Drosophila melanogaster: one gene and its partner. The gene in region 1 interacts genetically with each later gene. Each region holds a gene or a part of one and is shown in the gene's direction. Other genes may lie near its edges.

What was found.
Region 2: of Smu1 (region 1) and beag, changing one suppresses a phenotype caused by changing the other (phenotypic suppression), as found in Drosophila melanogaster (one study listed by BioGRID).

The regions. Positions count from the first base shown.
Region 1 is NT_033777.3:18,978,168-18,983,264, reverse strand, and holds Smu1 (Smu1 spliceosomal factor), read left to right. Parts: upstream 1-1,940; 5' UTR 1,941-2,008; intron 2,009-2,070; exon of another isoform or gene 2,071-2,158; 5' UTR 2,159-2,419; coding exon 2,420-2,445; intron 2,446-2,513; coding exon 2,514-2,580; intron 2,581-2,636; coding exon 2,637-2,895; intron 2,896-2,962; coding exon 2,963-4,041; intron 4,042-4,103; coding exon 4,104-4,202; 3' UTR 4,203-4,285; downstream 4,286-5,097. Other genes in the region: snRNP-U1-C (small ribonucleoprotein particle U1 subunit C), read left to right, coding at 1-162; dnk (deoxyribonucleoside kinase), read right to left, coding at 808-957, 1,015-1,285, 1,362-1,693; euc (eucalyptus), read left to right, coding at 4,492-4,621, 4,682-4,890.
Region 2 is NT_033777.3:9,062,416-9,066,737, reverse strand, and holds beag (beag), read left to right. Parts: upstream 1-1,659; 5' UTR 1,660-1,748; coding exon 1,749-3,332; intron 3,333-3,397; coding exon 3,398-3,487; 3' UTR 3,488-3,606; downstream 3,607-4,322. Other genes in the region: Ada (adenosine deaminase), read right to left, coding at 486-1,499.

The DNA.
Region 1 (5,097 bases):
CGTCCGGGAATGCCTGGAATGCCCTATATGCCTCCACTGATGAACCCCATGATGGGCATGCGTCCGCCACCGATTATGAATCCCATGGCCATGATGGGACCACCGCCTCCACTGGGCACTATACCCGGCGTCCGTCCAGGAATCATGAACGGACCCAAGTGAACGCCCTCAGGAACGGCATCAACGTTCACAGCACAGATGGAGTGCTCTCCTTGCGATGTCCTAATTAAGCTGTAGCATTTAAGTAAGCCCGATAGCGAAAACAATTAATTATATACATTTATATAAAGCAAGTTGACTCAACAAATGGTTGTCTTTGTGGGTGGAAGTCAATAGAGAAATAAAGTATATATATTTAGGTCAGTAATGAGAAGCGCATGCAGTCACATTAGAGTTCAGCAGGCATAAGATCACGCCGCTTTTACGGTGCACACATTATTATGACTTTAAAAAACCCCGCTTCAGAAAAAGATAACAAAAATCAATGCTAGAGAAGGCATTTAATGATTTCATTGTCCAACACAATATAGTTAAAATGCAAGTGAACTGAAATGCTAACACAAAAATAGTAGGTGCCTTGCCTTTAACATAAACATTCACAGTTTTTATTACAATATTTTGAGCTTACATACTAGTTGCTGTGAAGAGAATATAATGTGGATTATAATTGTTAATATACGAATGTGTTAATCATTGGCTCGAAGTGTAAGTTTCTGCCTTTGTCCCGCGAATCGGCTCGTCTAGGCCTCTTATAATATTATTTTAAACGTCTGTACTACACACAATTAGGTACTAATGGGATAATGGTTATCTGGCGACCCTCTGGCGCTTGCTGGGCGACACCAGAACCGGCGAGGGCTGTTGGTTACTTGAGATGGCGTCGAATATGCTGCTCTCCGAGCGCTGGTACTCGGTGCCAATGTTTTCCAGGTTCAGATCGGCATCGAGGACTAGGACCTGAGGAAAAATGCATATTTAGCGGCTTCGGTAGATGTGAGCTTGTGTAGAAACTACCTTGCACGACTGCGGTCGTCTCTGGTGTATCAACCAGTCCTCGTGCAACTCATGCAGCTCCTGAAGGTACTTAAGCGGCACGCAGCTCTCCTCAGAACGAGCCCGCTGCCGGATGCGTTCGTACGCCACCTCCGGCGAGGTGCGCAGATATATGATGAGGTCCGCCTGCACGTGAATGGACTCTTCGATGAACTTGTACCACTCCTCCAGCGTATTGTACATGCCCTGCTCCAGCGAGCCGTTTCGTCGCATGTTCTCCACGAAGCAATAGCTGCGGCGCGATGGGTAATGGATAAGTTTCGTTTAGCGTTTCTGGTCAAACCGGACGACGGGAATAATGCACTCACCGAGCGCTAAAAATGGAGCGCTCCATTATTTTTAGCTTCTTGTTGGTTGGGGCGGTGTGCGACTGCAGCATGGTCAGCGTGACATAACTCTGAAAGGGCATGGCCCACTTCTTGGGATCTTTGTACATCAGCTCCAGCAGATTTACCCCGTTGACGTTGCGCCACTTCTCGACGGGCTCGGTCAGCAGGCAAATGTCGTTCTTGTACTTCTCGAAGTGGTTCAAATACGTGGTCTTCCCGCTGCCGATGTTGCCCTCGATGAGGACGGTGAAGGGCTGGGTGCCCTCGGCGTACTTGGTCCCCTTTCGGGCACAGGATGCTGCCTCCGCCATCAGTCCGGATAATCGGCGATCTGCACGTGAGATTGGGAGTTTTACTAACTGTTTTAGGTACAGCACAGCAGCAACGGATCGCGGTTGAAGTTGATTGTTCCGGATTCGATGGAGTACTGTACACGGCGGCGGGAATATGGTGACTGATTCAACCCGCCTGGTCAGATCGTTTACCGCCGAAAAACAAAAAGAGCGGGAACATCGCCATTTGTTTCTTTTTTTTTTAATCGGTGTTACCTATCGTTATGCTTGTTTTTGTCAACCGGCTGATCGGTAACTGTGTGTGTGTGTGTGTGTGTGTCTATTCTATTGCCGGTAATGTTTTTACATACATCTTTACAAAAACTTAAAGTTTAAGCCAATGCTGGTTGAATTACCTATTAATGATATAATGTTTTTCTGCCACATGTGCTTGCTGGACATTGCTGTTTTTACAAATTTATTAAATACAAATACCACTGATAGCAATAAAATTAAACATTTATTGCTCACAACTTTTATGGCCTCTTATTTATTTTATTTAACGTTGTGAAATGAATTTTCTTTTTGCCTATACTGAGAATCAGCTGTCGGCGATAACGATAACGGTCAGCTGTTCTGTGCATAGTATCTGTTTTTCGCCATCCCTACGACGACGCATTTTTTATCAATATTATTGTACATTTTTATAAACCTGTATTAAAACTTATTTTTAAAAGGAATCTTAAACCGGGAAATTAGTTTACGATGTCCATAGAAATCGAATCAGCGGAGTAAGTACTGTAAATCGACCAACACCACTCAGTTTTTACTAGATCCGTGATTTCCCCCCCAAACAAAGTGTGATTCGGCTCATCCAGCAGTATCTGAAGGAGTCCAACCTTATGAAGACCCTGCAAACGTTACAGGTTAGTACTTACACACCGCGGAGAGAGTTTGTCTTTCAATGATCTTAAACTTTCAGGAGGAAACGGGTGTCTCCCTGAATACGGTGGACAGCGTGGATGGCTTTGTGCAGGATATCTCCAACGGGCACTGGGACACCGTGCTAAAAGTGACCCAGTCTCTCAAATTACCGGATAAGAAGCTGCTCAATCTATACGAGCAAATAGTCTTGGAGCTGATCGAGCTCAGAGAACTGGGCGCAGCAAGATCTCTGCTCCGCCAGACGGATCCCATGACCATGTTGAAGCAGCAGGAGCCCGAACGATACATCCATTTGGGTAAAATATAAGCCATTCTAAGGTTTCACTAGAGTTCGTGATTCCTAATTGGTATATTTGTCTGTAGAAAACATGCTGCAGCGCGCTTACTTCGATCCCAGGGAAGCCTATGCAGAGGGAAGTAGCAAGGAAAAGCGGCGCACGGTCATTGCCCAAGAGCTAAGTGGCGAGGTGCATGTGGTGCCCTCCTCCAGGCTCTTGGCACTCCTGGGACAGGCTCTTAAATGGCAACAGCACCAGGGACTCCTTCCGCCCGGCACCACCATTGATTTGTTCCGCGGCAAGGCGGCGATGAAGGACCAGGAAGAAGAAATGTATCCCACCCAGCTGTTCCGACAAATCAAATTTGGCCAAAAGTCGCACGTTGAGTGCGCTCAGTTCTCGCCGGATGGTCAGTATCTGATAACGGGCAGTGTGGACGGTTTCCTTGAGGTGTGGAACTTTACCACCGGCAAGGTGAGAAAGGATCTGAAGTACCAGGCGCAGGACCAGTTCATGATGATGGAACAGGCGGTGCTGGCGTTGAACTTCTCACGAGATTCCGAGATGGTGGCATCGGGCGCACAGGATGGCCAAATCAAGGTGTGGCGCATCATCACCGGTCAGTGTTTGCGTAAATTCGAGAAAGCCCACACCAAGGGAATAACCTGTCTGCAGTTCTCGCGAGATAACAGCCAGGTACTCAGCGCATCCTTCGACTACACGGTGAGACTGCACGGGCTGAAGTCGGGAAAGATGCTGAAGGAGTTCAAGGGGCATTCCTCCTTTGTGAACGAAGCCACCTTTACGCCTGACGGACACAGCGTGCTCAGCGCATCTTCCGACGGCACAGTAAAGGTTTGGTCCCTTAAAACGACCGAGTGCGTGGCCACGTACAAGCCCCTTGGCAACGAGTTGGCCGTAAACACAGTCCTCATTCTGCCCAAGAATCCCGAACACTTCATTGTCTGCAACAGATCCAATACGGTTGTCATTATGAACATGCAGGGCCAGATTGTGCGATCCTTCTCGTCGGGTAAGCGCGAGGGCGGTGCCTTTATCTCAGCCACTCTTTCGCCGCGAGGAGAGTTCATATACTGCGCTGGAGAGGATCAGGTGCTTTACTGTTTCTCCGTCTCCTCCGGTAAACTTGAACGTACTTTGAACGTAAGCTGCTCTTTAAACTATTTGTTTTCAAACTGACTTTAAACGTGATATTTATTCCATAGGTTCATGAAAAGGACGTCATTGGCCTGACACATCATCCGCATCAAAATCTACTGGCCAGCTACAGTGAGGACGGCCTGCTGAAGCTTTGGAAGCCTTAGACCATATAAGCAATTGACTTTCACACCTAGTTAGTTTTAGTTGGTGGTCTTATTTGAGCTGCCGAAATATACCTACTGACCCCAAAGCGCTTGCAGTTTTTTTCTCATGCCCTCAGCCATTCCTCACATCAATATCTTCAATCTTGCCTATATGAAACAAATTGACTTTAATTAAGCATTATGCAAAGCGCCAATCTCTCAGAGCGCTAATCCACAGAGTTTCCCTCAATTGCCTCAATCCAGCACCTAAATTAGTCGAGCAGCGACACTCAGCCGGTTCACTTGCAACATGAAGAGCGACGAGATCATCGAGAAGATACGCAACAAGTTGAAGGAATCGGATCCTGCCCGGCGCACCGTCGTCAACACGTTTCAGTTCAACTTCACCGATGCGGATGGTAATCTCATCAAGAGCATGGGTGAGTGGGAAAGAGGATGCCTGGTTGTGGGTCAGCCCACCGTTGACCGTCTCATCGTAGTCTTTGATTTCAAAGCGTTGGACATCTACGAGGGGAGTGCCACCAGTGTCGATGCACAGGTCACCATTTCCGATGAGGACTTCTACTTGGTGGGCACTAAGCAGAAGACTTTCCAGGAGGTGTTGCAGCAGGAGAAGGCTAAGATCGATGGCGATGAGGAGGCTATCAACAAAATGCTGGAGAAGTTTCGCATAAATTCTCAAAACTAGCTCGGTGTCAAAAGTAATTATGCATGCATTTCGTTTATTATATGCGACAATTTAACGTTTATTGTTTATTCACTTCACCCCAATAATAAATTATAACAAATTAAAATATTTCTATTTAATTCTAAGGGAAGTCAAGAAAGAAATTAGTAGGAGTTACAACAATTAAAAAATAAACAATTATCCCACCAAAAAATGTAATCAAATCGT
Region 2 (4,322 bases), 9.9 Mb from region 1:
GTGGAGGGTCCGACTATAAAGATGTCTTCACCCAAAAAGTTTGTTTCAAAATGTGCTATTAAACTACAGATTTCGATCATTTAAGTCTTACTTTGGTTTCCTTAGATTTCGATCGTCCACTTCACTTGGTGCAGTTTAAGAGCCCACTATTGACCAAAGCTTGTACTCCATTGTATTTTGAATGCCTACCCCCAAACTAAGCCACACAGAACGGCAGAAACGAGAACATAAAGTAATGAACAGAAAACTTGAATTCAATTATGAATGATATTAAATGAGAAAAACATAAAAACTTATTAGCCACATATGTACGTACGAAGGATGAACATAACTAATGAACAAACTTGTAACTAAATACTTCTACATATTGAATAAAAAGAATGATATTAAAAGGTAAAATTTTTGACAAATAAGAATCAGGTTGGTACATATATGGTGTTACATACAAAAACTTATTTATTTCAATTAGGGCAGTGACAGTTTTTTTATTTGACCAATATGTCTGCGTAGTTCCCCACCCTATCCGCCATCTGTATTTGCTCCTGTTCGCTGGCGAATGAATGATGCACTGCCTCCAAGGTCAAATCGATGCATTGTTCACGGGTTAGACCGAAAGTTTCCGCAGCAATCAGAAACTCCTTTGTCAAAGTGGTATCAAAAACGCCACTGTCGTCCGTGCAGATAACCTTGGGTGCATCTGCCTCCATGATTCTTTTCAAGTGGTGCTCCTCCAAGCTGGGCACTGTTCCCGACTTAACATTACTAGTGAGGCAGCATTCAATGGCAATATTTCGTTGTTTAAGCTGCCCAATGTCCTCGGGAGTAAGAAAAGTTCCATGTCCACAGCGGGACATTCCAAAGTGCAGCATTTCCTTTACCTCCGATGGATTCTCGATCTCGGCGCAGTGTATAGCTAACTTCAGACCCTTATCCCGGGCCTGTGCAAGAATAGGAGCAAAGTCGGAAAACCGCCCCTTCCCTGGATTACCGCTAAGATCGATGCCTAAGATAAGATTTGGATGAGCCCGTGCCAACTCCACAGCCAGGGAAACTGTTTCCTCAGCCACGTCCACTGGTTCCGCTCGATTGATGGAGGGCAGTAGCTTGACTGTTATCTCTGGATACGTTTCGCTAGCTGCCTTAATTGCATCGATCACGATCTGCAGGTAGTCCCTGCGTGAATAGTTCTCGTTTGCCTTAGGAGTGGTCCTCATTTCCACATACTGGACGTTGTCCTCAGCGAAATCTCGAATCGCCAACTCCGTGGCAAATCGCAGACCCTCCCGGGTGGAGGTCAACTCGTGCACAAATGCAAACTTCTCGAAGCATGCATCCATATCCTTTTCAAATCGGCTGAAGTGCGCGCACAACTTCAGGAAATCTTTACAAGAGGTTCCATACAATCGCTCGCCAAGATCACATAGGCTTTTGATGCCCAAGGAACCGTTGAGGTGAGCATGGAGCTCTACTTTGGGCAGACCTTTAAGAAACTGCTCCATTTGTAGTTTAACAATAATAACAATACATTATGAGAAACAGTGATGCTAAATGTGGAATCGATTTTCAAATATTCGTAATTATTCGGAAAAAACGCTAAAAACGCTAATCTTCCATCACTGTAAACATGTTATCGATTACAGTACGGAGAAAAATCAAAAACACAGCCAACCCTGGCAGGCAAAACCAAGAAGAAGCACAATTTGTAAATATAGATTTTCTCTGCGAGTTTTCTTCGAATTTTCTTCGCCATGTCGGATGCCCACTTGGAAGCACCGCCTTCGGTGCGACTAACCAACGATGACTTCCGCAAGCTGCTAGCGACGCCCCGAGCTCCTCCTCCTGGCTCCGGGACGAGCAGCACCTCCGCTGGAGGATCTCTGGCCACTGCTACCTTTGCCACGCCCTCCACCGCCCCCGGCACGACAGGATTGAGTGGCGAAAAGAAGAAGGGTCAGAGCAGCAGCGAGCGGAATGATCTGCGTCGCAAGAAAAAGAACTTCTATGCGGCGCTCAAGAAGCAGGAGGATGTGAAGCTGCAAGAGCTGTCCGAGAAGTACAGGGACCGAGCACGAGAACGACGCGATGGTGCCAATCCAGATTACGTGAACGTGAGCACGCCGGGACACGGAAGCAGCACCAATGCGTATCGAGCTGTAGCGCCAGATATGAAATCCGGAATCGATGCCCAGGAGCGAAGAAGACGTATCATTCAGGAGTCCAAGTTCTTGGGTGGAGACATCCAGCATACGCATTTGGTGAAGGGTCTTGATTACGCCCTTCTGCAAAAAGTGCGCTCCGAGCTGCACTCGAAGGAAGCGGAAGAGGAGGAGATTGCCGCCGCTGTGGCAAGGGAAAAGCTCGCCGAAGCAGCTGCCGCCGCTGAGCAATTGGAAGCGGAACGCCGCGAGTCGGAGGATATTAATGCAATCAATGGTGCACTAGCGCGCAATATTTACAATCTAGTGCAGGCAAGGCGTTCGAAAGAAGTTCCCCGCAATGAGCTATTTGCTCCAGGACGGATGGCCTATGTGATCGACCTGGATGACGAGCTAGGGGAGTCGGATATTCCAACCACACTGAAGCGCTCCAAGTTCGAGGTGCCGGTGTCACAAGAGGATGTTGCCACGCTGACCACCAATGACATTGTGATCAACAAGCTGTCCCAAATCCTGAGCTATCTACGTGCCGGTGGTCGCAACAAGAAGAACAAAAAGCGCGACAAGGACAAACCGCTGTTCTACGAAAAGGAGGTGGAAAATCTTCGTGGGTCGTCTAGCAATGGTGGCTCCAGTCGGCACGCCACCTCGTCCTCATCGAACATGGGAGGGAAATCAGCTCCCTTGGGCGATAATATCTACGACGATATAGGGGACTACCAACCTTCTGCCACGCGACCTGAGCGAAACCGCCAGGAGCAAGGCAAGTCCGCCCCGTCCTACTTTGGAGACGGCCCGCCGGAGGCATCAGAGGAGCCGATAATATCCAGTATTCCCCCGCCACCCAAGATATCGAAGGCCATGGCCGCACGGTTCGCTGAACCCGAGGGATACGCAGAATGCTATCCCGGGCTGGAGGAGATGAACGACGCCATCGACGACTCGGACGATGAGGTGGATTACACCAAGATGGATTTGGGCAATAAAAAGGGGCCCATTGGACGCTGGGACTTTGACACGCAGGAGGAGTACTCCGACTACATGAGCACGAAGGAGGCGCTGCCCAAGGCAGCCTTCCAGTACGGGGTCAAGATGCAGGACGGTCGCAAGACGCGCAAGAACAAGACGGAGAAGAACGAGAAGGCCGAGCTCGATAGGGAGTGGCAAAAGATTCAGGTATGTATATCCCAAAGGATTCGTCGATGATCAATACAAAATATTTATTTTTCTTTGCCATTTAGACAATCATTCAAAAGCGAAAACTGCCAAAGGACGGTGGAGGCGGCGGTGCTGGTGGCGATGAACCCGATTACAAATCCGCAAAGTACTAGAAATTCTTGAAACATTATTCTATATTTGTAATGTAATTCTGTAAAACATTAAATATAAGTATGCTCGTACTTGTATTAATCTTACATGCTCTCAAATATATTTTAGCAACGTTATCACTAATTTAACTGCTACTGGAGTTGGGAACTAAGGGGAGGGTCCTTAGGGAGCTTGGCAGGTTGACTTATCGACTATGTGCGGCAATAGCGCTGGTACAGTGGGATTCAGAACTGTAAGACCGCTGGCGCAACGCGAGTTTAATTTCCATCGAGTAAGGCCAAATGTTGGGGAACTTTAAAACGGGTTCGACAATCAAATAAAATCGATCTCTTTATTTTGCATTGCATTGCTCTTACAGTCCCGAAACGCACTGCTTGTGATTCTCAGTTGGTGTGCGAGCTGCATCTACTTAAGCTGGATGGGTGCACCTAGTGCTGCTCTCTAACATGTAACGTTTCCTGCATGCTTAGAAATATGACACTGATTAAATGTAATTACCTTCGCGGGAATGCTATTCTTAATCACTACGCTAAGTCCGAGTGTGAGGATGGTGGGGCGACTTGTATAAAATGGGTATCGGTAAAGTTTGTATCTTTCAGCTTCGGAAAACCGAAGCTCAGCCCTTTACACTGCCAAGAGTGGTTTGAGGAAATGGGGAAAACAAAGCCGGAAATGATTAAATAGTAGAATTTGTTTCTGGTTACCTAGCTTGAAAATATTGCAGCGATTTCCCACCTAAACATGTCATTAGAATTTATAAAAGTATTAAAACCGTAAAAATGGATTGATCTTCGATAAGAAGACATTTTTGAGATTCTCAAAAGGTATCGGAAAAAC